Linked DNA regions of Xenopus tropicalis. Each later gene encodes a partner of the first gene's protein in a complex. Links are inferred from orthologs where the notes say so. Each region holds a gene or a part of one and is shown on either strand. Other genes may lie near its edges. The genes, in order: ahi1, tmem237, mks1, tmem231, cc2d2a, b9d2 and tmem17.

Region 1 (4,212 bases):
ATCTTTGACCTCTCTGCCTTTCACAAACCCTGTTTGTTCAGGGTGGATTAGTAAAGCGGTGATGATTTGTAGCCTGCTGGCGATCATTTTGGCATATGGTTTTTGGTCCAGATTGAAGTGAAATGGGCCTATAACTGCAGCATACTGCTGGGTCTTTGTTAGGTTTATGCAAAACAGTAATTTGCGTTCTTGTCTGATATTGAGTTAAAATGTTTTAATAATATGGGGATTATTTGTTGTTGAATTCTTTATAGAAACCTGCGCTATAACCATCTAGTCCCGGGCTCTTGTTGGATGGTAGATAATTAATTACTTTTGTTATTTCTTCTATTGAGAATGGTGCTTCTAGTTGTGATTGTATATGGTTTGATTTTGGGGAGGTCTAACTTTTTTAGGTATTGCTCTTTTTTTAGCGTTTTGTTTTGGTTGTGGGTCCCTGGGTTTAGATTGTATAGGGTCTGGTAAAATTCCTTAAAACATTTTGCTATATCTGGGTAGGTATGATTAAGTTTTTGCTTTGAATCTTTAATTTGTGTGATAAAAGTTTTGTTTTTCTGCGTTTTTATTAGTCTGGATAGGATTTTAGATGGTTTATTTGCCAATTTTTTATATATAATATTTGCCGTAGTATTCTCTTTTACATTTTAAATATGCTTTTTCGGTGAACTAGTCTAGTAGGTGTTTAGCTGAATTCTTTCAGTTTCTAACTCGGTTTGTATTTTGTTGGCCAGTGTTGTCTTGTGTTTGCTCTCTAAATTGTGAATTTCTTGCATTAGTATTTGTATATTAGCGTTATTCTGTTTTTTCATTTTTGTGCTGAGTGCTTTTAGGTTACCTGTTACTACCTTCAGTGTTAGGGGTCATAGTGTGGAGGGGTCTGTTTTAGTGAGGTTATTAAACGAAATTGTATCTGATATAGAAACAGATATTTCCGTTCTAGTTTGTTTCTGTAATAATAAGAGTTCATTAAATTTCCATACAAATGAAGCTTTCATGGTGATGGGGATCTCAACAAAGTATAACTTTTTTTTCCCCCTAAACTGTGAAAAGCAATGCCCTCTTAAACAAGGGACAAAATGCCAAAATCCCAGTTTAATTACCTATTCCTAAATCAGCCCTAGTTGTCCTAAAATTGTGAAATATTTCTGGGACTCTCTGACGCCACAATGGTAAAAGAGCTTAATTATTGATTACTATGGCTATTTTCACCCATTTTCTCCTAAATTCATTTTTTCTTACCCTAAATTGTGCAATAAAAAGTATTTATTTTTGAATCCCTGACAAAAGTAGGAGCTCCCTGACAGCACAGCGAAAGTAATATGCGAGCAGACAAGCGCCCTGCTGCGCCAACCCTCACACCAACGCGCGTCGCTCTACTGTCCCTAAAACCACTGAATGGTGCGTCCCTAGTACGTGTAGTTGTGACGCCGCATTCTCGCGAGATGAGAATTGGGGATTAGCTGTTCTGAGGTAGTCAAGGAGCAGGACGTAAACAGTGTTGCGGGACATTTAAGCTGCGACCCGAGGCTGCGGGCTGCGTTGAGAAAAAGCGGGACTATTGGGCGGAATGCAATACCTTGACGTGCAGATGTGGTAAATGAGAACATTTCTACAGTATGATTTTGTTTTTCTAAAGTTATTAAAAAAAATACAGCTGTACCCATTTGTAATATGTATTAATTGTATTATTTGACCTGCCGTAGACGCTGCGGCGCACTATGACAATAGCTAATTAGTTATTAATGACTGTGATTGTGCAAATTTGCCTACTGCTAACATGTGCACTACTATCCTGATTTTGATTAAATTGTTTTTTATTTTGTTCTGTTAGCTTTTTGGTCATACTGTGTTATGATCTGAGGCTGCAGATTGAAGACTGTTTATCTTTGCAGAGTACCATGATAATAGTGATTGGTGGCTGGGGGATTGAATCCAGGAAGGATCAAGTGACTGATAATGTTTTACCATAAACCGGTTCCCTGGAACACTGGTGGTGACATCTGTAATCCTATAGCGAAATGACTCCAAGCACACCTCCCAGTATTTGAAAAATCTAAAGAGGGACAAAAAGAAATGCAGTGCATATTGCAATTTTTTGACCACGCCCGTTTTTGTGACCACACCCCCTAAATACCACTCCCATTTTTACCATATTTGGCAGGTTATTTAAAATTTGAACAATTTTTGGGGGGTTTGGGGGTCATGTTTTATTTGTTATTACAGTTTTGCTTAAAAATGTGAAATTGCCCTTTAAGCTGTATGTCTCAGTTCCCCCCAAGAGACCTATTTAGTAGTGATGTGCGGGTTTACCCACTGATTCGGGCTGGCAGTGCAACATCAAAAGCAGGTTTTGGTTGGGTCAAGCCCTTCTGCTTTCCTCCCCGCCTGCAGCCTAACGGAGCCCCAATACCGGATCTGGCAGCGTCTATTTATAGGCGCGTGCCATGCCCACTCCCTCAGTAATGTCATTGGTGGGGTGGGATCAGGTCTATTATTAGTATTTATATAGCACCATCAATTTACGCATTGCTTTACAGAATAGAGTGGTACAAAAGACATAACAGTTAACATGTATATATAAACAATACACAAAAATGGTTTGCAGTTACATTGGATGAGGATCGGAGACACTAGGGGGAGGGCCCTGCTCGCAAGAGCTTACATTCTGAAAATCTGTAAATAGACATGAAGCTGCAGGCCAGGTCAGGTGCCGGTGGAGAAGGGACGGGTTAGGGTCGGGTGTGGGTTGACAAATAGTAGACCTGCACATCACTACTGTTTAGCTTATTAGTTACAATTGTATCTAAGTGCTCGTGTTGCTTGTTAACTTTTCTGGGCTCTCTGCCAAAAGCTGCTTGTTTAATTAAGTTTCAGAAACATTGTATCTTTTTTAGCATTCAGTGCAGGAGATGAAAGTGAAATGAGGGACTTTTCAGTAAGAATCCGGTCTGAGCTGTTGAAATAGGGACTGTCCCGCATCGGGATGTTACTGTGCGCATTGTTACAGTAGGCATCAGCTTGTATCTGAATTTAGTAGTCCACAACAGGTGGAGGTCTGGTGGTACTGTAACTCTAATTTTCCTTCTCTGGTGAATTAACCTTATATCAAATGCACTAGAAGTATGCACAAAAAATATAAATCTAACTACAGTGCTGAGTTCTCTTACCCAGTGGTGGGAAATTCTGTGTTTTTAGTTTCAAATGTAATGTTTTTCTAAACAAGCTGTGGTGCTATGATGGCTGCCACTCAGCGCATTAGGGCTGTTATATGGGGGCTATTAAAGGTGCCAACGTTGCCCCTCTGGACTCATTCTGCAGCTTGTGTGTCGACTGGTCCGATTGCCATCTTGGAGTCAGGAAGGAATTTTTTCCCCTCTGCGGCAAATTAGAGAGGCTTCAGATGGGGTTTTTTGCCTTCCTCTGGATCAACTAGTAGTTAGGCAGGTTATATATAGGCATTATGGTTGAACTTGATGGACATATGTCTTTTTTCAACCCAACTTACTGTGTTACTATGTTACTATGTTACTATGAAAGGGCCTGCTGTGACCAAAAATTAGCCCAGTATCTGTCAGAGAGGTTTGAATATCCTGCATGCATCAGCAAGTTGATGCAATCCTCCTTCAAAAAGCCTCCCTAGGTTTAAAGGAGAGTGAAAGTCATTTTGGCATTTTACTGCCAATAGATTCCGCAGAAAGCATTACCATACCTGAGTAAAGAGCCCTTGAAGATTTCTCAGTTTGCTTAAGAGAGGAAGTCCGATACCTGAAGAACATGTTTACAAAAAAGGAGACAAGAAATCCTGTGTTTCTTTTGATAGAGGACTCGCGTTTCTGTGAGTGCTTATGGGTGTATTTACATAGACCTTTCTGATAAAGCTTACTTAGTTTTTACGTTTCCTTCTCCTTTAATGTATGATCTGCTTGTTGGCCCCTGTGACAGAAAGTGTATTTTATCGCTGTCCACAGAGATAGTGTGATAGCCTTTATTTAAGATATGGGACTTGCAGAAAATAGATATTTGAGACTATTGATAAACTGAGGACTGAAAGAAGAAACATCTATCACAACCTTCAGTGATACCACATACTTTAGGACGCCTTCAGTGTTTTTTTTTCCCAGGACTTGATTCTTTCTGTCATTTTTCTACTTATTATACTCACATTTCATGAAGTAAACTTGTGGCCTACACTAATATTGTATTTTAAGCTGA
Region 2 (4,196 bases), on another chromosome or scaffold:
TACTGTAGGTGAATTTCAGTTTCTCAAGTCTAAAAGGAGGCCTTTGGTTGTTTCCAATTATTCAATTGTTCCATTGCTTTTACCAATTTAGTTGCACCTCTCTGTATTATTTCCAGCTCATTAGTTCTTCTAACTGGTGCCAAAAAAAGCACTGCAGTCTTAAGCTAAGGCCTTACCAGCCATTAAGTATCATTATTAACTAGTGTTTATAAAACGTTAGTATATTCAGTTGTGCTGTACAAAAAAAAAAAAACTGCCAAGACTGGTCCATTATTTTAAATGTACCTGTAATTCCAGTAAATGTGTAATATGCTGGTGATATAAGGAATAATGTACCTCCCCCCTTGTTGTAAAATATGAGAATATTAGATTCACACTGGCAACCTGTAGATTCTGAAAATGCCAGAGGGGCTGCTATAAGCAGAGCTGTCAACTTTTGACGGGTGCAGTCCGTGGGGGGCTGCAATTTTTTGTTCCCAAAACGTGGAAATAACGTCACATGTGCGACAGACTTCTGGAAGTGACATCACACACATGCACAAAATCCCCGGCGAAGCCAAAAAATTCTACCTGCACACATGCATCAAATGATGTCACCAAACAATTACTGTACATGCACGCCCAGTATTCGCCACCGGACTTCGGTATATTTGGGCAGAATCAGGAGAATATTGGGGGATGGCTGGGGGGACAAGGCGAATAGGAGACCAGGAGAGAGCCACCACAATCTGGTTACTCCAGAACAAATGGGAGGATTGATAGCTTTGTGTAAGATGGTCACTATTTTTGTGGGCTGGTGGGGGTTGTTTGGGCCTCTGTGTATTGGAAATTCCCAGGCCAGAGTTCCATGACCCATATAAAAGCATAAGGCCAGCCTGTGCTACTGTACATGACAAATCTCCCCAAAATGACTTGCCTTAACATATTACTTGCAGCCATTAAGTTTATGCAAATAGAGGCAATTTCCCCTCTCTTTGGGCGGTCCATCAGTCCGATCCCGATACTATGGCAAGCCAATTCTGGGAGATTTGTCGCCCGTGGTTGTGCAGATTGAACCATTGGAGACAAATATCAACTTGCACCATTACCCCAACCCTAGCTGCTAAGGAAAGAACTGTGATAGCAATTACGCAAACATACAGCTTTACAGAAACAAATATTTAATAATAAGGCTGCCGCACGCCCTCACTTCCTCACCCCAAGCCACTCGGCCCCTCCCTTAGTGCTACAAACGCATGCGCACTTCAAAGCTAGAGCTCAGTGAAAGGCAGTGAATCAGAGCTACTTGGCTTTTTAAACGCGCCCCTTCCAGTCTGGCAGCCAATAAAGAGATAGCATTCTGTGTTTCCATGGAAACTCTTCGGTAGCCTTCCCTGCTCCAGAAACATTCTTTTGCCCGACCTCAGGGAGCATGGAGCTTATCCATTAAGCACATATATGTCCTAAAATGGACAGCGTAAAAGTAAGTTCTGCCTGTGTAACACTACATTCTTGTTTGCATAAACTTTTCAGGGAATGAGGGACTCTGCACATGTAAGCATCACTGATGATGAGGTTGGTGAAAATGGCCGCCAGCTGAAAGCTGCTCTTTGTTTTAAATATGAAAATATGTTTGCTTTGGCAAAGGTGGGGGGGATATATATGCAGTTAAAATGGTATGGTTCGGTAGGGAAATGTGCCTACATGTAGGAAAATAAAGGGTTTAGGGATTAATTCACGTGGGCGTATAAAAGCACTGACCTGTAGCTGAAGGGCAGAAGGTTCTAACCTTTGTAATCCCAGAGTTTATCTACAGATTATTTTTGTGTAAGGAATAAGAGGATCTATGTGTTGTGTAAAGGAACTGCCTAGTATCTGCCTGTATGTGCACTGACTTTTGATGATGGGGAAGAAGCAAGTGGTAAGTACCTTAATGCTTTAGGAAAGGAATGTTATTTGGCAGATGAGAACCTTATAGAACATTCTTACTATCTGATGGATGCAAGCCTTCATAATTTCATGTGAATTTGATATTAAGTTAGTGATTTTTATGTGATTGTACCAGTTCATTGTTACCATCTAATTTATAAATAGAAATGTACTATAAAGTTCAATATAAGAATACTGATTTTTATTAAAGCAGTAAAGTTCATATTCAGTTATTTATTGATGTTATTTAACTTTAACTCTCTGTTTAATGTAGACATTGATATTGTAAGATTGGTAATTGTGGCAGTTGGTTTTCATTTTTATTTGTACAGCAGCTCTCCATCTTGGAATTTCAGCAGCTATGTGGTTGCTAGGGTTTTATTTACCTTAGCAACCAGACAGGGGTTTGAATGAGAGCCTTGAATATGAATCAGTGGCATAACTACACTGCACTGGGCCACCCTGTAAAAAAAAGAAACTTCAAAGGGCCCAGCGCAGAGTAGCAAACGCACCAGGCCCCCTGCCCTGGTGCGTCCCCCCCACCCCCTTGAATATAAGTTAGGGATGCGCCGAACCCACTTTTTTGGGTTCCCCCAAACCCACCCTGACGGATTCTGCCGAATCCTAATTAGCATATACTAATTAGAAGGGGGGCCTGAACAGAAAGATATGGAATAAAAAGTAACCACAATAAAAAAGATGTAAGAGATGTAAAGGCCAATTTATTTTTGGCTGCAGGGATCAGTGACCCCTATTTGACAGCTGGAAAGATGTAAAAGAGGAAGGCAAATAAGTAAAATAATAATAATAATGAAGACCAAATGCAAAGTTGCCAAGAATAGTATGTTCTGTAAAATACTAAGGGGCACATTTACTAACCCACGAACGGGTCGAAATGAGTCCGATTGCGTTTTTTTCGTAAAGATCGGTATTTTGCGATTTTTTCGTATTTTTTGCGATTTTTTCGGCGTCTTTACGAATTTTTCGTTACCAATACGATTTTTGCGTAAAAACGCGAGTTTTTCGTAGCCTTTACGAAAGTTGCGTAAAATCTTGCGCTTTTTCCGTAGCGTTAAAACTTACGCGAAAAGTTGCGCCTTTTTCGTAGCGGTAAAACTTAAAAGGTGCGAAGTTTCGCGTAAGTTTTAACGCTACAAAAAAAGCGCAACTTTTTGCACAAGTTTTAACGCTACGGAAAAATCGCAAGATTTTACGCAACTTTCGTAAAGGCTACGAAAAACTCGCGTTTTTACGCAAAAATCGTATTGGTAACGAAAAATTCGTAAAGACGCCGAAAAAATCGCAAAACATACGAAAAAGTCGCAAAATGTTCGTTTTCAAGTCGGAACTTTTCCAATTCGGGTCGGATTCGTGGGTTAGTAAATCAGCCCCTAAAAGTTAACTTAAAGGTGAACTACCACTTAGGGTCACACAGGCCTTTTTTACCCAGAGGGAATTTTTCATCTCTTTCAGTTTGGCCCCATCTAAAAATTCACTCTAACAAATCTTATTGGCCAAATATATAATAAAAGGGACAAAGTTTGCCAGGATGACCTGTAAATGCTGATTGGTTGATTAAACTAGTAGCAAACTTTGAGTGTTTTATTACATTTCCCATTGTTTTTCACAAAGTACATCAAAGAATTACTTTTTCCAAAATATTTCTGGTTTTATTTTTTAACGTTTTTAGTGTTTTCTGAAAATTGCATTTCTTGCATGACTTCCCTGCCATAACATCTAACATCTGCTAACAATTTAAATATTAAATAAACCCAATAGAATTGTTCTGGCACCAATGTGGATTCATGCAACTCGGTTATGATCAAGTACAAGGTACTGTTATATTATTAAAGAGAAAAAGAAATTCATTTTTAAAAAAATTAATTATTTGATTATAATGGACTCTTTGGGAGATGACCTTCCTGCTATTTGGAGCTTTTTGGATAACTGATTTCTGGATAACGTGTCCTATACCTGTATTTGCTCATTGAACTCACTGAGAGAGTGACAGATTTTAAAAAAAAACTTCTAGGAGGGTGGTCAGTAGGGCTGCTTCCTTGGCTTTGCAGAGTTTAAGGCTGATGGCACATGGGACATTTGGTTATCCACGTGGTGACAACATGTCTGAAAAAATCTTGGATAATTAGTTGGAAGAAACCAACCAACTAATTAGGCGATCCTAAAAATTCCCTGGTGTTTTCATAGCAGCTAGATTTTTATCACATATGTTAAACTTCTCCTGAAATTCTGGAAAATTCTGTTAGCTTTTTGCAGAATTGTTGAAATGA
Region 3 (3,500 bases), on another chromosome or scaffold:
GGGGGGCGTAAAAACAGACGCATCTTCACCTATACGGACCATGATCGCTATACAAACCTAGAAGAGGTACATTGTTCTATAATAATACTTATGATTGTGAAAACATGCTCTGAAAATTAATTAGTCATCCCTTGTTTTTGCTTTATTATTTAAAACTGTTTCGGCTTTTCTTAAATATTGTAAAAAAAAAAATAATATGCTAAGCTAAAGGAATATTTAAAGGAACACTTTTCCCACCGATCTATATCTTGTGTAAACTATGTAGGGATGCACCGTATCGCGGATTCAGTTCGGGATTCAGCCGAATCCTGGCTGTTTTTTAAGGATTTGGTTTCGGCTGGATATGCGGTCCCGGTCGTACCAAATTGCATATGCTAATTAGAATCCGGAAAGGGTTAAATCCACAAAATCCACAGAATCCTGCTGTGCAGGTTTGTGTGTTCGTAGGTTCGGCCAAACCCAAAAAAGTGGGTTCGGTGCATCCCTAAAACTAAGAATGCAGCTTCTAGATGCATATGCTAAGCTCAGTTTTTCACATAGCAGTATATGCTGGTCACAAAAGTTGGCACAGGAATTAACGAAACCCTGCCACTTAAAATGACCAAACATTTAACAAAACATTTGTAATGTGGCCCCCTTTTGCTCCAGTTTTACTTTGACCTGTTTCGTTTGGATTTTTTGTGCCACTCTACTTTACAGATACTTTACATTTCAATTAAAAAAATAATCTCATGGTTTCTCATGTAAGCTTCAGGCAGTCCGCTATTTGGGTGCTAGCATAGTTAGTAAGATGGCCGTTAACTGGATTTCACATATAAAGTATATGAACTAAGTTAACTGAATTGAGGAACATATGTTTGAGTAGATTATTTACTTCATCACTAAAAATCAACCTAAAATCTGCCTAGGGTTATATACTAAGTAAGAACACTGCATCTTTCAGAATTTTTTACCAGCCACACATGATGGATGTTAGATATTTGCAACAGCTGGATTACTAAATATTGAACAGCCTTTCTCTTATTCCCCTCCCCATAATTTTTTTTTCATCCTCTTATGTTCCTTGAAATTGTTTTGATTACGCCACCATATCTATAAAAGTATAAAGATACTTCTACAGAACAATTAAAAGTTTCATTCTTTCTATAGCACAGCCAATCAGTGACAACTTCTCTAGATGAAACACCCACTTTCTTGGTAGAACGAATGGCAAATGTAAGAAGAAGACGGCAAGACAAAAGGCAGATGTAAGTGTCAGTGCTCATATTATTCTGTGTTTAGTACTATACACTCCATTGCTTTGGAGATATTTCTGATGAAATGTATTGTTTTCTGCCAGTGATGGAGTTGGGATGTGGCATCGTTTTATTACCTGGAAGCCTTCAGATGATTTTATCAGAAGTAATCACATTATTAACACTCCAGTACAGACAATGTACATAATGGCAGACCTAGGACCAGGTGGAAAGTGAGTGAGCCTTACCAACCTTACTAAATGCAATGTAAATGAATTAATTTTCTGTACACAGATTTACATTTTCTGCTATGATTTACATTCTATGAAGCATGTTTCCTTTGCACAGGCAAAGTTGCATATACCCTAGTAAATATTTAGTTTCTTAATTGTAAGTAAGCTATTTCAGTGGGCTTATTAATGCAAATTCTGAGAAAATTTTGCAGCTAAATGACTATCTTTTGATTAAATAATCTTAAGGGCACCTGTATAAATCTACCTCTGTATCTGGAGGGCTAGATGGTATGGGAAGCTGCAACTGGTTATTCAGTTCTGTTTAGTTTTTCCCATCATGCAAATAATTTTCAGTGATGGTCACCACAGTTATTTTACTGCTGTATCTATGTATATATTCCAGCCTTGGATTGAGGGAACATGAACATGTCCTATGTACTGTTCGTGTGGATGCAAATGGTGTGATCACGCTGAAACCTGATGTTACTGGCACAAAGGGACCTTACAGGTAAATACAGCCATGGGAATAGTATAAAACCACAATAAATTCTATTGCAGCAAAGCCAACTTCTCATTACTTTCAAATACTGTTCCCTTCCCCTGAAATAGGCTCGAGGTGGAAGGAGAAAAGCGGCAGCTGTGGAGATATACTTTGCAGCACGTGTCTGAATCTGTTCAGAAGGAAGAGCAGGAAAGGGAACAACATATCTACAAGGATGTAAGCAAAACCATGCTAGTGCTAGGGAAATTGGAATATCAAAAATATTTAAACTCGGTGCTTTTCAGCAAGATTTAAGTTAATATCGAGAGTATCCGTGTGGGAAAAGGGTCTCGAGTTTCTTCTTTCAAAATCATTTTGGTAAATTCATGAAGGGATATTTCAACTTAAAATTAACTTCAAGGGGCAGATTTATGATTGCTTGAGCCTTTTGGTTTCAGGTATAAAACTTGTTTGTAAATAAGTTCGGCAGGTATATCAGATTTAGATCACCGAATAGTCACCCACTCCTGCAAATATAGACAGGGACTAATTAACTAACATAGGTGCTAAATTCTAATTGCTAATTGGTTGTTACTGTGCAGATGCAGTTTAGCACCTATGTTAGTAAATCAGCCTCAGACATGGTTGGCCAGATCTCAGACACTAGGTTGTTGATTATAAATTAATCAAATGATCGATTTATTCAAAGTCACAGATAGTGACCAAAAAATGCGTGTTTGGTATCTGAGTTGTACAGCCCCCCATTTGTCAGGATAACATAAAAATGAGCAGGGATTTTAAAATAAATTTCCTATCCACCAGTCAGTACATCAGAGTCACAGAGTGATGTTGCATGCCAAGGTTAATGCAAATATGTTAAACTTTTGAGGCACTACAAAATGCTTGACCCTTTCAAAAACAGTTTATAGTCCTTTCAGCTAGCACTGAGCTGTAATTGTCCTAGGGATTTCTGTCCCCTAAAATATTCTCTACCTTGTGCCAGAAGAATTAATCAAGTGCTCTGTGTTATTTTGGAAATGCACCCCATAATGCTTTTAACCATTCTGTAAATAAATTAAGTTGCTTTCCCAGTGTGTGTATAGAAATTTGCTAATTGATATCTTTATGGCAATATTTTAGTTATACAGCCGACATAAAGAATATTTGAACAGTTTGGTGGGCTCTGACTTTGAAATGGTAAGTTTTTATTATACTGTTTTTTTTCTTTTTATTTAGAAAGCGCTGGCTTTCATGGGTCTAAAGTAATTTACTACTTGGCAATTATAGGCGTCAAACTTTCATATTTGCTAAATTCAAATTGCTAATTGGTTGTTACTTCTTTCTTATTTATGCTGTTGGCATATGGATAGAAAATTAGAAGAAGGATTGTGAACATAGGGTGGTCAGTGATGCATTCTCAACCTGGTGTAGTGTTTTTAGTGGGGTGCAGCAAGGTTCTGTATTGGGTCCACTTTTATTTAAGTTGTGCTTGAATATCTTGTTATGGGCAAGGGCACATGGGTCGGATTGTCAGCCTGCAAATAAGTGCAG
Region 4 (2,737 bases), on another chromosome or scaffold:
GTAACGTATTTACTTTTTCTCTCTAAAATTATGACAGTTGCTAGTAATTGATGTTAAATAAGCTAGCATAAATGTCTCTCTCATTCCTTTCTTAAAGCATGGTGCTTAATTTTATTAAAAGACCTTTTATCTAGATAATCTCAGAAGTTAAGCATTAAAAATAATAGATTTCATATGTTTAATACTAGTAGCTTAGAGCACGTATCCCTCTTGCCCTGTCTAGTAGTTTATTTGCTCCTTGATGGACAATGCACTACTGTATATGTGTGGCCTTTTGGGAGAATGAATGTATGTGAAATATATTAAAATCTATAGCTATACATTTTTATGAAGTTGCCCAATCCACTGGACATTAAAAGCACTAGGGTATATACTGATCAGATTTTAGATGAACATAAACACTGTTGAACACATCACCCACACACAATTTATATTCCATAATGTTTGGCATGTGTGAGTGACATGTGCCACCTATTTTGGCATAACTGTCTGTGCCAATTGATTTGGGCAGGAAGAATTGAGCAGTGCCAAGCAACATATGGAAGTGCAAAAAGTACCTTTCTAAGCAAGTACCTTCTTACCCAATTTTCTCATGCAACTTACTGCAAGGAAATTAGCGGCATTGCTGCTGTACTAGCAGTTGTAAATGACCCCTACCATGCTGAATGGCACATTAACTGTTCTTAGCTGCTGACGAACCATTCACTGTAAGATAATAAATATGTGTGCTGGTTTAAATGGAAGAGTTTGCAAGCCTAACGGGAAATCTTAAACTGCTCTGTATTATGGGAGCCAATGCTAAATGGTCAGTGCTTAGAGTATGGTGGACAAGGACAGTTGTAACCCTGAGGCTTTGAACACAAAAGGGTAGAAAAGGGGCTGTATGTCAAATGTGAAACATAATTAAACGTTATAATAATAAAAAAAAATATATATATATATATTCATTATATTTGTAGTGTTTGTGTGTATGTATACAGAATAGACATAAATTTCGGCAACATCATTTTTGGCAACAGATTTGTTTGTTTTGTGAGAGATTTGTGAGATATTTTTATATTTTATGCATTATTATAGTTGTTATTATTTACCTTAAAGTATTAGGCATCTTTTTGTGTTTGTTAACTTTTTAATGTTATCTGGTTGCAGTGACCACAGTTCTGAATGCCCCAAACCCCCTGTGGATTGTTGGGAGAGCTGCTTCTGATCCATTTGTAATAAAAGCTGTTATCCGGTATCCCGTGGAATCAATATCATATCCTTTAACTCTTGTACAAGTTTGAAAAGTATAATTCTTTGTGCATATGCACAGCTTCTAGAGTATTTCATATGCCTACAAGTATTAAGAAAACTATTACTTTTATATCCGGTGCTTGGGCTATTTCTGATTTCTATTTCCTGGGATTTTGTTTACTGTTTTCAATATTAGTGCCACATGTCCCTTTTGAAGATTCCTTAACATTATCCACATATGTGCCTGGATTCTGGGAAATGCTAAAATATGCATGGATTCAGTATGTCAGTATCCTTCTCATTTTCCTTTGGGTATTTGAGAGAATTAAAATATTTGTTTTTCAAAATCAAGTTTTGACTACAGTACCAGGCCCAATACCATCATTGTATAAAAGTCATCAGAGCTGATAACCAACCCCATATGATAAACTGGATCTTGGGTATGCCTTTTGAGGCCTTAAGACTTCTAATAACTTCTCTTTCTTTACTGTGATAAAGAAGTGGATTTTCAGGAACATGAGAGGAAACCTATTTGCTATGTTGGAATTATTACAGCAGGAATTTCAGACGTGTTACTGATAAACTTCAACTCCCACAAAACATGCAAATAACACTAAGCGAATTCTAAGGGTTGTAATTAAGCAAGAGGTGAAAGCTTGCCTCAACAGCCCATACATTTAATGCTATGTTTTAATAATATCTTCTTGGAAAAATGAACCTAAATGTACTTCCTTTGGTAATATTTCCTTCTTTCTGAAGAGAGTGTTGGTTTAAAAATCCAGTGGCACTGGCAGTACATTGGATTGCCGTATACTACTGGTACCACTCCATCTTAAATTTCTTCGCTCCTAGTCATTTTTTTGTGGAAGCTAGAAATTGTTTTGCAAAATATCTCAGTCTTCCCAAATATTTCAGTTATTATTAACTGAATATTTCATTTTTATTAAAGGGGACCTGTCACCCAAACATAAAAAGCTGTATAATAAAAGTCCTGTTAAAATGAAACATAAAATCCAAATTCCTTTTTTTATTAACACATCCAAACCCATTATAAAGGCATTTAAAAATTCCAGCTGTAAATCATATATTGTATTAGGCATAGAGGTGGGGCAGACAATTACTTTCACTTTCCATTCAGCACTTCGTAGATGTCACTGCCACCCTCATCACTTTCCCCCTCCCTCCTCACCATCTAACTGTGTAGCCAGTGCATGGGCATGGGCATCAGGTCCCCCATTCTGGCACATAAACAAGATTTTGTTGTTGAAGCGAAGCTTTCCTTACTAAAATAGCACCTGGCTGCTTGCTGTAGTTGTGTAAAGACTGTGTAAAGACTGAAGGAAACAGGATTTAAATAATTAAATAATTAATTACAATAATTATATTGTGTAAGTAAAGTTTATTATGCTTGACTAATCTGATAGAAAATAATTTGGAATTATTTCTTACGATGACAGGTCCCCTTTAAAGGAGAAGGAAAGATAAAAACTAAGTAAGCTTTATC
Region 5 (3,500 bases), on another chromosome or scaffold:
TACTAGTCTGATGCCTTGAATTCTTTTTATGTTTTGCCTGAGTAGTATGGGAGATATAAAAGTCCTGCCTGAGAACGCTGAAGTGGCAGAAAACAACCCAACTCTATCAAAAGGCATCAAAAATTAAATGTAATTTTTAAAAATTAAATTGACATCAAAAATCTAAATTTAATTAAATTAAGGAATCCCCTTAATGCTGTGAAAGGACACTAAGGGGCAGATTTATCAATGGGTGAAATTAGAGCTCACTACAGAAACACTCACTTACTCTCTGTTCATTTCTGGGGGATTTTAGAAGCACGGATACTACTATACCACTATCGTTGACCATTATGCCACTTCCGCTGGGTAAAATGTACAAAAGAATTTTAAGAAGACCTTTTGGGTTGCTCCCAATTTTGTTTTATTGACATCAAAATTCTAAACAGATATTCATACCTGGGACTTTTTCTGTACAGTCTTTACAGCCTCTCGAAATCTGACCCTTGATGTCAACTCAGTCTCAGCTTCTCTAACCCTGTCCAGTTGAAAGGAATCCTGGAGTAATAAAAAAAAAAAAAAAATTAATAAATAATAAAACTAAGAAGTTAAACAAAGAAAAAAAATTAAAATAATATGCAATAAAAAACATTCTCAAAGGCCTGCAAAAATAAAAATTAATACAAAAGAATATTACTTTGCTATTTCTAAAGATATACAAGATCTACAAAACATAAATGATACAATTGCCATTGTAAAAATACTTCACTGCGCTGGTTCAGCTTTTCAGTATTTATACCATTAGATGTTTCTAGGTTATAAACAGAGAGTATATTGTCAAAAACTGCTATGCTTGAGTTATAGTTAGGGTAACGAGATCACTTGAAAATTCAGGGACACGTCTAGAAAATCCAGCTAGCAGGGCTAAAATGATTCCATCTTAATTCAAATGCAATCAGTTCTACCCTGCAACATTTATTTATTTAGACATGTCCCTGGATTTACAAGTTAACTGGTCACCCTAGTTTTAGTACAAAACCTGCTACCCAGTCAAATGAGTATAATCTCTAACTTTTTACCGCAGATGGGTAAGACACTTAAGGTGGCCATACACTGTAAGATCCACTCATTTGGCAAGGTCAATAAGCGAGCTGAGCTTCTCCCTAGGGCCAAACAATCAAATTAAACAGCAGGCACACGCAACATCAGTTCGGAGACCGCATCAACGAGCCGATGCGGTCCCCTATCCGACAGAAAAAGAAAAAACAATCTTGATCGAGATCTGCTCGATTTTTGGCCGGATTTCAGTCGGGAAGGCCCGTCCTTGGTGCCCATACACAGGCAGATAAGCTGCCGAATCGGTATAAAAGACTGATATAGGCAGCTGAAATTGGCCTGTGTACGGCCACCGTTACAGGAACGGGGCCCCTGACCAGGGTACTTTTCTGACTCAGTGCTGCCATTGCTAGTCACTTGTGGCTGTCCTGAACTGTTCACACACTCAGAATCATGCCATCAAAAATTGCGACATGCACAGGGTAATAAAATAAAAAAATTGTACTATACTGCGCATGCACACAGTCCATGGCAAACTAAAGGGATTGCTGGGAAATGACTGAAGATAGCAGCACAATGCACAGCAGGGAAAAACCCTGAGCAAGCTTTTTTTTCACAAAAAAAGGGAGCGTCAATCTGTGTTAAAAATAAAGTGACTGTATTGGCTGGAGGTGTCTAACTTGTCCTTTAAACCTTATTAAAAGTTAAAGAATATTAGCCATTGTAGTTCAGAAATATCTGTGGACCCAAGGTTAAGAAACAGGACTCTAATACAATCATATAAGCAAGGCAAATGAAAATGCACTCACCTCTTCATTAAACCTTCTGAATGAATCTGCATGTTTAGACTTAGGTAATCTTTGGGGCGAAACAACTGGGGACTCATCCTGTAGAGTACTTTCTGCCTTAGACTTGCCATAGAAAAGAAAGGATCAGAGATTATGGTATATCCTTTATAGCCTCAAGCAAGAAGTTTCTCTAGCACACGATTAAGATGCAAAAATATAATTCAAGTGTTTGACAAAAAGGTATTTTGCTCAAGGAGTGTACCAAACATGGAAAAAGCATTCCTTGCATATTCTGCTGTCAGCTAAGATTCCATCCTTCATGGGCACCATCACTAAGACAAATGAAATAGGGCCACTGAATTTGACTCATGGAAATGTTAAATGCCGCATATATATGTAATTTCATTTTTGCTTCATTTCCAGAATAATTCCACTTCTTGCCGTGCCTAAGCAATTGTCTCTCTGGGTGGAAAGTCCACAATCTTCCTTATCACTTCCCATAGATCCGCTAATATTGTAAAATCCAATTAAAATAGAACAGAAAGGGGTGTGACTGAGCAAAGCAGGGGTATATAAATGCACTAATGCATGACTTGCAAAATCACACTCACCATAGCAGGGATAATTCCCTAAGCTTTGTTACAGGCTTTCAGAGATACCATATATATTATCAGTACATGTATTGCCTAGTACAGGGATCCCCAATGTTTTATACCTGTGGTCACATTCAAATGTAAAAAGAGTTGGGGAGAAACATAAGCATGAAAAATGTTCCTGGTGTCACATATTGGCTATTTGGAAGCCCCTATGTCAGTGATCCCCAACCAGTGGCTCGTGAGCAACATGTTGCTCACCAACCACTTGGATGTTACTTTCAGTGGCCTGAAATCAGCTACTTATTTTTAAATTCCTGGTTTGGAGGCAAGTTTTGGCTGCATAAAAACATAGTGTGCTGCCAAATAGAGCCTCCACATAGGGGCTGCCAAATAGCCAATTATAGCTCTTACTTGGCACCTCAGGAACTTTTTTCATGCTTGTGTTGCTCCCCAACACTTTTTTCATTTAAATGTTGCTCACAGGTATAAAAGGTTGGGGATGCCTGCCCTATATGGACTGGCAGCAGTGGCCCTTTAGAAAGAACACTGGGCAAGCTTATAGTCATAATAAGGCACAGAACCTGTGATCTGAAGTAGCACCTGCACTTCAGTAGACTGCCGCTCAGTTTGCAATCGCTTGGGCAAAAAAAGGTCAGCTTCTATTTCATTTTAACTAGAAACTAAGAAATCACTGGCAAAGAACTTTCCTACAGGACCTTAAATGAATCCACAAGATTTAAATCAGTTTTGCAAGGAGTGTTCAGACTAATTCTCTAAAGCAATACAAGAAAAACATTTTTTAGATACATACCCTTGCAGCTTTCAGTCTTTCTCTGAGCCGCTCTCTCATGGAAGCTTCAGCAGCACTGGGCACTGGTGTGGAAGCCGCTAAAGGTGGAAGGCCTGAAAACATTTATATTAAAAAAGGCATCAAATTCAAGTCACCGACTTTTCTATTTTTTTTAAAGCAAAATATTGTATATGTGTATTTCCTAAGGATTCTTGTGTTTTGGCTCTGTTTAGATTTATGTAGGGAAGATGCTCCCCTATATCTGGGGATCAATAAAAAACAGATTTAAAA
Region 6 (4,181 bases), on another chromosome or scaffold:
ACTGATTTAAGATAATCGTCAAAAGAGCCTGAAAAGTATTTAAAAACAAAAACATTCAATTTACTTTATATATAAATGTATTCTGGTAAGTGATTGATGTGAATGAGGTATTATGAAAATGAAAGGAGAGAAAGGGAGTGTGCTTTATAACAGGGCTGAAAACAAAGCAAGGATAGTAAAAAAGTGATACAATGAGGAAAATGGCTAATATCAGAAGTAACAGACAATTTGGGAAAGTGTAAGAGATGTTAGTAGAAGGGGAGGAGGATAAATGTTACCAGATTATGGTACAGAAGAGATATGAAGTATCAGGTTTATTAAGAAGGGTTGAGAAAAGGGGCTCATTAAATACTGAGCAGGATTCTGTTTGAGGTGTTCACAAGTAATTCCATAAAATGTCTTGCTGATTATTTCAGTGCATATGTCCTTGGCACCAAAAATAATCATTTGGAAAACCAGGAACAAGTTCTTAGCACTCTGCAAAATCAAGAACACTCCACCCCGTATCGTTCAAAGTTCCTGAGTATGACCGTTAATTGGAGATGTACTTGCCCCATGGCCACTGTTTGCAGACGGTAGCGATCAGACCCTCCATAAATCAGGCTGGATGACTTAAGTTGTGGGCCGCCGCCAACAAACATCTGACATATTTGCTCCTGCCATGTTCCCAGGGGTCGCCAGGTTGGGCTAAGCAATGAGTGAGTACCAGGGGTGGAAGGGATGTGGAGGAAGCTGTAACCATAAAGTTCATTACGACCAAATGTGTCCTGATGCCAGACTTGAAGGTGAAGTTTTGGCCAACCTAAGTGGGGGAAATACAAGCATTTAAAGTACATAATGTACTTTGCACCTTTGGTAGGTAAAGTGTGTTCATTTGAATGGGTAGGGTTAGGGTTGGGAGCCTGTGCAGGGGCTCCAATGTGATTACAATAATTTTAACAGATTCTTTATTTTATTCTTTATTCTATCATACTTTACCTTGTAATCCTTTAGTAGCAAAGTGCATGTCAATAGGGTGAGACCAGAATGCCATGTCATCATTTTGTGGATGATCTACTTGTGTCTGGCCTTCCACAACCCCAGAAAGTAGCTTCCAGGCTCCACCTAAATGTTATGGTAGGGAACGATGTTATTACAAATAGAAATATCATATGGTTAATAATAGATAGAGCCACACCAGTATCTTATATATCAAGATTTTCTCAAAACATTAACATTTCCTTTAAGACTCTTTTATATTGTTTATGTAAAGTAAAGCCAAAAATGGGCTTTAAGTTATACAAACACAGCCTTCTCCTTCACTTCACATTACTAGAATAAATACAGGGGTCACCTGACGCATATATTTCTTCTTCACATCACAAACTTAAAAATATATTACAGGTATAGGACCCATTATTCAGAATGCTCGGGACCAAGGGTAATTTGGATCTCCATAGCTTAAATCTACTAAAGAATCAATAAAACATTAATTAAACCCTATGGGATTGTTTTGCATCCAATAAGGATTATTTATATCTTAGTTGGGATCAATTACAAGGTATTGTTTTATTACTACAGCGAAAAAGGAAATCTGTTTTAAAATTCTGAATTATTTGATTAAAATGGAGTCTATGGGAGACGGGCATTCCATAATTCAGAACTTTCTGGATAACGGGTTTCCGTATAAGGAATCCCATACCTGTACTAGAATAAAAGTGGGGCCAACTGAATGCATATACCACATTTTCAACAGCGTACAGCTCCACAAAAAAACAAAACTGTGTTTTTTTTATGTACAATTGATATATAGATCCATTTAAAATGCAAAATGATGACTCTTACCTGTGTGTACTCCCCATTTGCAAAACAGGCTGTGTTGGGGGAAGCCACTAGCCCCAATAATTTGCCCTATGATGTGAACCTCTGCCATTACTGTAGGAGGAAAGGTAAAATATATTTCAGTTACATCATTATTGTGAAGAAACTAAATTATAATTTTTATTAGAAGTAGGTCCAACAAACAATAACAGCTAGAAATTACACTTCTTATACCATCTGACGCCAATATAAATATACAAGCCTCAGTGACCAAGTTTTCCTTTTTTTCTTGGCTGTGTGTGCAAAAACTTTCTTTTGTGCCTACTTCCTAAACCTATTTGAGCACTTTTATAAAAACTATGCGCAAGTCTAAAAAAATTCTAAATTATGCCTTTACATACAAAATTCTTTTTGCGCACCACAATTTATTACAGTAAAACTTTATTTTTCATCCCTTACTTAGGTTTTTTTATTTTGTGGTCCCTCCAAAATATAATGATTAATACATTTCAAGGATATGACATCCCCCATTATTTTCTAGTGGCCTCAATAATGTAAAAGGGCGGTTCTAATGCATGTGCCCTGACATCGTAATTTAAATATCCACAAATGCATAGCTTAGAAGGAACATTAGTATTACATATACATTTTATTTATTACCTACTTTTAGCGCAGTGTTATTACTACGTATATTATTAGTATATGTAGCTAACCCCCAGCAATAAGCCCTGTAAGACGTGGCATGTCATAACCAAACTGTTCATTACACATCCAATAAAACCAATTTGAAAGCATAATTTTATTTGTCATTACCGCATAGTGTATTACATATGTAACTAACCAGGTCAATGACCAACATCAAGCAAAAAAAACCTACTTATACCTGCACAAGTTGGGCTGTAATGTAATTCATGAGTGTGGCTATTCATGTACAGTGAATTTCATAACTACATAGAACACTGACAGTGAAGGCACTATAGAATCAACAAATAGAATCCCTAAACTGAGGGCCCTACAGCTTACACTTACAGAATCAGCCAAGAGCCTCTGTTTGTCAACTATCAGCTGCTGGAAAACGTAATACCCCCATTACACTCCCTACACTGGCGCCATTGTGTGTGCTATGAGCATATAAATTACTGACGATACATATTTGGATGATGGTGCAAAATCATCAGGACTCCATACCGACAACCTGCGAATCATATCTACCTTTGCGTATATAACACCGCAGTAGGGTAAGATGTAAGCGCTTTACCAGTTTATTAGCTCTAAATATTTTTCGCCCTCTTTTACATCCCGCTATAAATGCTTCCCCTAACCGCACAACTGCAACATAAATCTCACCGGACCCCCTCTGAAAACCGGCTCCTTGTCTTAGCTTTTTGCCCCTTCTAATTCTCACTTTGGTAGACTCCGCCTGTTGCTGTGCAACCGTTGCATACAGCAGATCTGATTGGTTCACCGGCGGAAGTGACGTCTGTTGTAGGCGAAATGTGTAAACTGATCGAGACTGATAGTCTGTGGGAGACGAAGTATTGGGATTAAACGATAGCTATTAATACTGCAATCTGTGATTTATAATACAACATAGTGTAATGGAACGTTGCTTAAACAGATATAGGGCGTCGTGTCGTGTCGGGTTCTGAGGCATTACGTATACAAGAGACATATTAGCGTCCATTTAAAGTTCAGCAAGTTAGTGGCTGAGGGGGGTGTAATGAGAATTAGCATGGCCATGCTGAAAATGCGTTTGTCTGCTCCCACTTTGTAGTCACACCCCCAAATGTAAAGCCTTTAAACCAAAAAGAACCCAGCTTTTAAAATGCTGGAAACTTTGAATGGCAGCGTCAGACGAAACGCATTCACTTTTATGACAGACATAGTGGCCAAAATATTTAATTACATTTTAAAAGAAGTAGGGAGATACTTGGATACATGAACGCAGAAGAATTTATTTAGGATATCCCTATCTGAAAAGGTGTCGTTGATCCAATTCATGCAAGAAATACATTAGTATTTTTGTTATAAAAGATTGCTAAAGCTGCTTTACTGCAAGACAAGCTGGTAATGAGCCAATTTTTGCGGAACATATGCTGTTATTTTAGTGTCTTTAAAAGATCCTGTCTGTTGCTTCACAAGATAACTGTTTGCCCCATTTTACCCCTTTCTCATTGAGTGATTTATTCTGCATGCTCAGTATGCATTTCTTATCAGATCTCTCCATTTGTCTCTGCCCATTTCCTTGTAAAAGAGCATTCTTTTGAGAGAGTGCACTGTTACTGACAGGTACAGATAGAGACCAAAAGAAAGATAGGGTACTTGAATACATTGCAGTTCACAATACTATTAGTTTGTGCCAGCATGGTTTTATGCGTAAC
Region 7 (3,991 bases), on another chromosome or scaffold:
AAAAAATGCTAACAATATAGGAAGGTCAGTTTTGTTTCAGAAAAGGTAGTAACCCTATGTACCTCCACATTCTGTGCTGTAGTAAAAAGTTAGCCAAATGCACATGTCAAATGTGTGTGTAAATATGTTCTGCAACATTCTGGCCTCTTTTCAACCTTTTATAAGAAATGCCAGAACAGGATATAATGCTTTCATTCACCGACACCATAATCAGTTTTTATCAGGAGTCCATTCATGGAGGAAACAGACACAAATATGTTTGCATCTTGTACCTATCTATGCTTGTGTCTTTCAATATAAAGGGAAGGTATGAATTAAAAAAGAGAAAAAAGTGATCAATATACTACATCTATTTAAAAATGCAATGATTTTAGTTAGGACTGCACATAGGTGAAGCCCTCCACCAAAAGAAAGTAAACAAATGTGTCAAATCTGTTGTGTCATCTCATGATGTCGTATTTGTAAGCAATGGAGCCCACTGAAAGGCTCATGTTTCCTCCATTACTTTATGTAACCACAAGTCAGTATAAAAGTACACTAACTACAAAGTCAATGTATAGTAATGTTGTACCACATACACCTTTGTTGCACAACAAGTCCCCATGGTGTATCTATTTAGGTTTTTACAAATATTATCCCAATTGCATAACCCTAAGGTTTGTGCAGTAAAAACATTATAATTTTATTTGGACAACACTGGTCTGTTTTAATATTGCTGCAATATCTTCTTTTTTGGATTTGATGTTATTATTATAAAACAATGTTGTACATTGTAGCGTATACAAATGTTGTGAATATACAGCATGCTTGCACAGCATTTAAGCTGCTTTTGGCTTGCAAGTTACAATAGGCCATCCTCTGATTCTAGAAGATGAGTGCCTGACTGCTCAGAAAATCCAGTCCAACCATGCTTCCCATAGGCCAGTTGGTCATTGCAGTCGCAACTCTCTCCTAATTTTCTTGAGGCCAGCTTATTTGTTTGAGGAATAGCTTACAAGGGGCAACCTTGTGGATGACCAGTAAACTCAAAACAAATGTACAGTATAAGAGGGTTGAGGGTTACATTTGTAGTTAGTTCAACGGGTGCTTCTTATTATTTCCTTGCAGGCATGGAATCAGAAAATCCTTTGTCCCCAAATGCCTAATCAGTAGTTGCTTCCATAGGCAGGAGCTGTTCTTTTCCAAACACACTCCATATTGAGTAAGAATTATGATCTTTTAAAGATCTTTACCAAAGAAGGAACATGGAATTTTATTTGTGGACTGACAACCCAATTACACAACCCATCATTCTTCTGAACACAGCAACATCCAGAACCCAGGTTGCATATTCACTGACACTATTTTTTGATATATAATCTTCTAAACTGTAGGTCTAGGTAATACTCGGGCATTTTCTCCAGCAAAAAAACAATATTCTAAAATATTCAATTGAGATGTGATTCCACTGGCAATAATGGGGTTAGTGGTGGCCAATTTTGATGCCACAATTTGGAAAAATTGGTTAAACATTCAACAATGAACATAATAATATTACAGTAGGAGAAAGCTTGAGTTTATATTGTAAATTGTGACTATTTTCTCTAGACAAGCAATATGGTGCAAAAAGTTAGATTACAAACCAGTGGAGGATAGGAAAGTTTAATATACATTGGAAAAAATACTGCACAGCAGGATTGTACCAAATTAGCTCTCTTCAGGTTCTGATTAAAATAATCCTTTAGTAAAGCAGCCTGTTGCAAATCCCATTGAAACATTTTAATCAACATGCAAGGATGACAGTAATCCTGTCTGATCTCTATAGAAAGACAGAGTTAGCATCTGCTAAGCAGTGGTGATGGCTCTTCTTACTCCACTGCCTGGCAGCGTACGGCATGGACTTGCCAGAATTAGTGGATCTCTCTTCATTCAAAATAAGACCAGAGACTGTGGAGAACAACATGCATATCAGTCAGGTATTGTGCCTTGTAACTCAGGAATAAGTGATATGTTTTGTGCTGCCAGATTTTGCAATCTGAAGTAAGGCTCAAAGCATAGCCCAGAAGTAGCCATCTTTTTACAGTTACAGTTGTAAGTTTAAATCCATGCAATGACTCCAAGCAGAGTCATTATTATGATTTGTTTGTATCTGTATGTAACATGTAGGTTTGATGTACACACCCATATATTGCAGTGCTGAAGTATAGGTTGGTGCTTTATAAATACTTGTTAATTTGTTCTTCCTAATGAATAGATTGTACTTGACAAAGGACAATTCTTTATACAAAATTTAATACAATACAGGTAATTGTCCTATTTTTTAATGTTTATATTATTAATAGGCACATCAAAGTTTGTTTCTTTTACACCCAGCTTCTGAAGCTATTATCATCTCTGGCATTCTATGGAGACAGGCACATTTAGGTCTCCATCTGTGAAAAGCCAATCTGCTTTATCCCAATAAGCTGGGAAGGAGAGGGCAGTTTTCCGAAGCTATTCACAACTGCAGTCTGCAAGATTAAAGGGGACTTCACCCTAAGCTTTTTGAAATGTAAACATAATTTTAAGCAATGTTGCAATATATAGCAATTAAAAACATATGGAACAGTTACCTAAGCCTTTGGAACAGTTACCTAAGCCTGTTCCCTGTTGTCCTGCTGATCTGGCTGTCTACTTTGACAACTCAAATAAAATGTAACAGTAGTCGACTGTCCTCAGCCTGCCTTCAACCTGCATCCTCCAAGTCCCAGAATCCACTGCACATAATGTCAATAAAGAAAGGAACATCACAGTCAGGGGCGATTCTGGACATATCGCCGCCTGAGGTGGCTCCTGGATGCCGCCCCCCCCCCGCTCCCCAGCGCTTACCTTCTGAGCGCAGGAGCGGGTCCGGGGGCAGTGAGATCGCTAGTGCAGAGAGCGCAATTGCGCTCTCTGCACTAGAAGAGCCGAATTTCCGGTTTAAAAACCGGAAATTCGGCTCTTAAAGTTACCAGGAGCTGATTTTTGCGCTTCTGCTGCCCCTGTTTACAGTACAATGCATTGTGGGTTATATAGTTCCTGCATGCTGCCTATAAGTTGTAGAGGAGTTGTTACAATTTGTAACATCAATGTTTTAGTACTTCCTTCCCTGACAGTATTTCAAATGATGCAGCACCTGAAGAACTATTTTGCAGCTGGATTTCAGCATATACAAATGGTATTTATACAAATAAATGTACTAAAATGTATTCTTATGAAATACTGCACAATAACAGAAAAAAGGACATTTAAAGCACAAATGTTGTTACTTGATATTGATTTGATGCTGCAAAGTTCTGCTCTCAAAGCTTCAGTCTTAACAAGGCAAAAATGTTTGCAAATGGTCAATGGGCTGAAAATAAAATATCTGTATATTTTCCTTTGTTTTAGGCCATGACCTACTGTCAAGCCTTCCACTACAGATGATGTTATATTTCAATGCTTTCTTTTTTCCTTTCTGGATTATATCAGAGATCATTACCATGGAACTCAAGGTAAAGTGTTTTATTATGTTCTTCTAATATGAAGATATCTAGTAGCCCTGTAGCCATACACACAAGCTATGGGGGCAAATTGATTCAGATTCAAATTTGACTTCTTGCTGCATTTTCCAAACAGTTAGCAGAGGGGGATCACTAAGCGGATTGCTTGTATTATTACAGGCATAAGTGTTTTGTAGTGTCAATTAAAACAAAAGAGCTTTACCCATTTATATTCAGGATCATCAGAGGTGCTCTGTGCTATTTGTTAAATAGGAAAAGAGAACAGAGAAGGTAAAGTCACATTATAAAATATAAAGAGTCCATAACGTCCAGAACAGATTAAAAATGTTATAGGTTTTCCCTGGTTAAAAAAATGTATCTTCACTGGTTCTTTGATATATAATTAGAAATAAAAGAATCAAAAGAAAATAATGGACATACAGTATTATGATAATAGAACAGACATTTTTTATCAATTATATTTCTCCATCTCATTCATTTCTTTTTGG

What was found.
Region 2: ahi1 (region 1) and tmem237 share a complex: the UniProt entries of both Homo sapiens proteins name them as parts of the tectonic-like complex. The link is inferred for Xenopus tropicalis from reciprocal best matches to the Homo sapiens genes AHI1 and TMEM237.
Region 3: ahi1 (region 1) and mks1 share a complex: the UniProt entries of both Homo sapiens proteins name them as parts of the tectonic-like complex. The link is inferred for Xenopus tropicalis from reciprocal best matches to the Homo sapiens genes AHI1 and MKS1.
Region 4: ahi1 (region 1) and tmem231 share a complex: the UniProt entries of both Homo sapiens proteins name them as parts of the tectonic-like complex. The link is inferred for Xenopus tropicalis from reciprocal best matches to the Homo sapiens genes AHI1 and TMEM231.
Region 5: ahi1 (region 1) and cc2d2a share a complex: the UniProt entries of both Homo sapiens proteins name them as parts of the tectonic-like complex. The link is inferred for Xenopus tropicalis from reciprocal best matches to the Homo sapiens genes AHI1 and CC2D2A.
Region 6: ahi1 (region 1) and b9d2 share a complex: the UniProt entries of both Homo sapiens proteins name them as parts of the tectonic-like complex. The link is inferred for Xenopus tropicalis from reciprocal best matches to the Homo sapiens genes AHI1 and B9D2.
Region 7: ahi1 (region 1) and tmem17 share a complex: the UniProt entries of both Homo sapiens proteins name them as parts of the tectonic-like complex. The link is inferred for Xenopus tropicalis from reciprocal best matches to the Homo sapiens genes AHI1 and TMEM17.

Annotation. Positions count from the first base shown.
Region 1 is NC_030681.2:71,850,707-71,854,918, reverse strand, and holds the start of ahi1 (jouberin), read left to right. Parts: upstream 1-1,412; 5' UTR 1,413-1,593; exon of another isoform or gene 1,594-1,614; intron 1,615-4,212. UniProt on the Homo sapiens protein: Involved in vesicle trafficking and required for ciliogenesis, formation of primary non-motile cilium, and recruitment of RAB8A to the basal body of primary cilium.
Region 2 is NC_030685.2:53,781,323-53,785,518, forward strand, and holds the start of tmem237 (transmembrane protein 237), read left to right. Parts: upstream 1-1,396; 5' UTR 1,397-1,447; coding exon 1,448-1,462; intron 1,463-1,472; exon of another isoform or gene 1,473-1,515; coding exon of another isoform or gene 1,516-1,554; intron 1,555-1,589; exon of another isoform or gene 1,590-1,879; coding exon of another isoform or gene 1,880-1,900; intron 1,901-4,196. UniProt on the Homo sapiens protein: Component of the transition zone in primary cilia. Required for ciliogenesis.
Region 3 is NC_030678.2:41,738,856-41,742,355, forward strand, and holds part of mks1 (Meckel syndrome type 1 protein), read left to right. Parts: coding exon 1-66; intron 67-1,149; coding exon 1,150-1,247; intron 1,248-1,339; coding exon 1,340-1,468; intron 1,469-1,871; coding exon 1,872-1,976; intron 1,977-2,077; coding exon 2,078-2,186; intron 2,187-3,089; coding exon 3,090-3,146; intron 3,147-3,500. UniProt on the Homo sapiens protein: Component of the tectonic-like complex, a complex localized at the transition zone of primary cilia and acting as a barrier that prevents diffusion of transmembrane proteins between the cilia and plasma membranes.
Region 4 is NC_030680.2:64,234,200-64,236,936, reverse strand, and holds the end of tmem231 (transmembrane protein 231), read left to right. Parts: intron 1-1,149; coding exon 1,150-1,255; intron 1,256-1,469; coding exon 1,470-1,641; 3' UTR 1,642-2,237; downstream 2,238-2,737. UniProt on the Homo sapiens protein: Transmembrane component of the tectonic-like complex, a complex localized at the transition zone of primary cilia and acting as a barrier that prevents diffusion of transmembrane proteins between the cilia and plasma membranes.
Region 5 is NC_030677.2:27,864,383-27,867,882, reverse strand, and holds part of cc2d2a (coiled-coil and C2 domain-containing protein 2A), read right to left. Parts: intron 3,323-3,500; coding exon 3,231-3,322; intron 1,947-3,230; coding exon 1,845-1,946; intron 538-1,844; coding exon 439-537; intron 1-438. UniProt on the Homo sapiens protein: Component of the tectonic-like complex, a complex localized at the transition zone of primary cilia and acting as a barrier that prevents diffusion of transmembrane proteins between the cilia and plasma membranes.
Region 6 is NC_030684.2:79,325,656-79,329,836, forward strand, and holds the start of b9d2 (B9 domain-containing protein 2), read right to left. Parts: upstream 2,801-4,181; 5' UTR 2,730-2,800; coding exon 2,684-2,729; intron 1,915-2,683; coding exon 1,825-1,914; intron 1,105-1,824; coding exon 979-1,104; intron 803-978; coding exon 486-802; 3' UTR 1-485. UniProt on the Homo sapiens protein: Component of the tectonic-like complex, a complex localized at the transition zone of primary cilia and acting as a barrier that prevents diffusion of transmembrane proteins between the cilia and plasma membranes.
Region 7 is NC_030677.2:166,773,736-166,777,726, forward strand, and holds the start of tmem17 (transmembrane protein 17B), read left to right. Parts: upstream 1-1,191; 5' UTR 1,192-1,837; coding exon 1,838-1,955; intron 1,956-3,390; coding exon 3,391-3,494; intron 3,495-3,991. UniProt on the Homo sapiens protein: Transmembrane component of the tectonic-like complex, a complex localized at the transition zone of primary cilia and acting as a barrier that prevents diffusion of transmembrane proteins between the cilia and plasma membranes.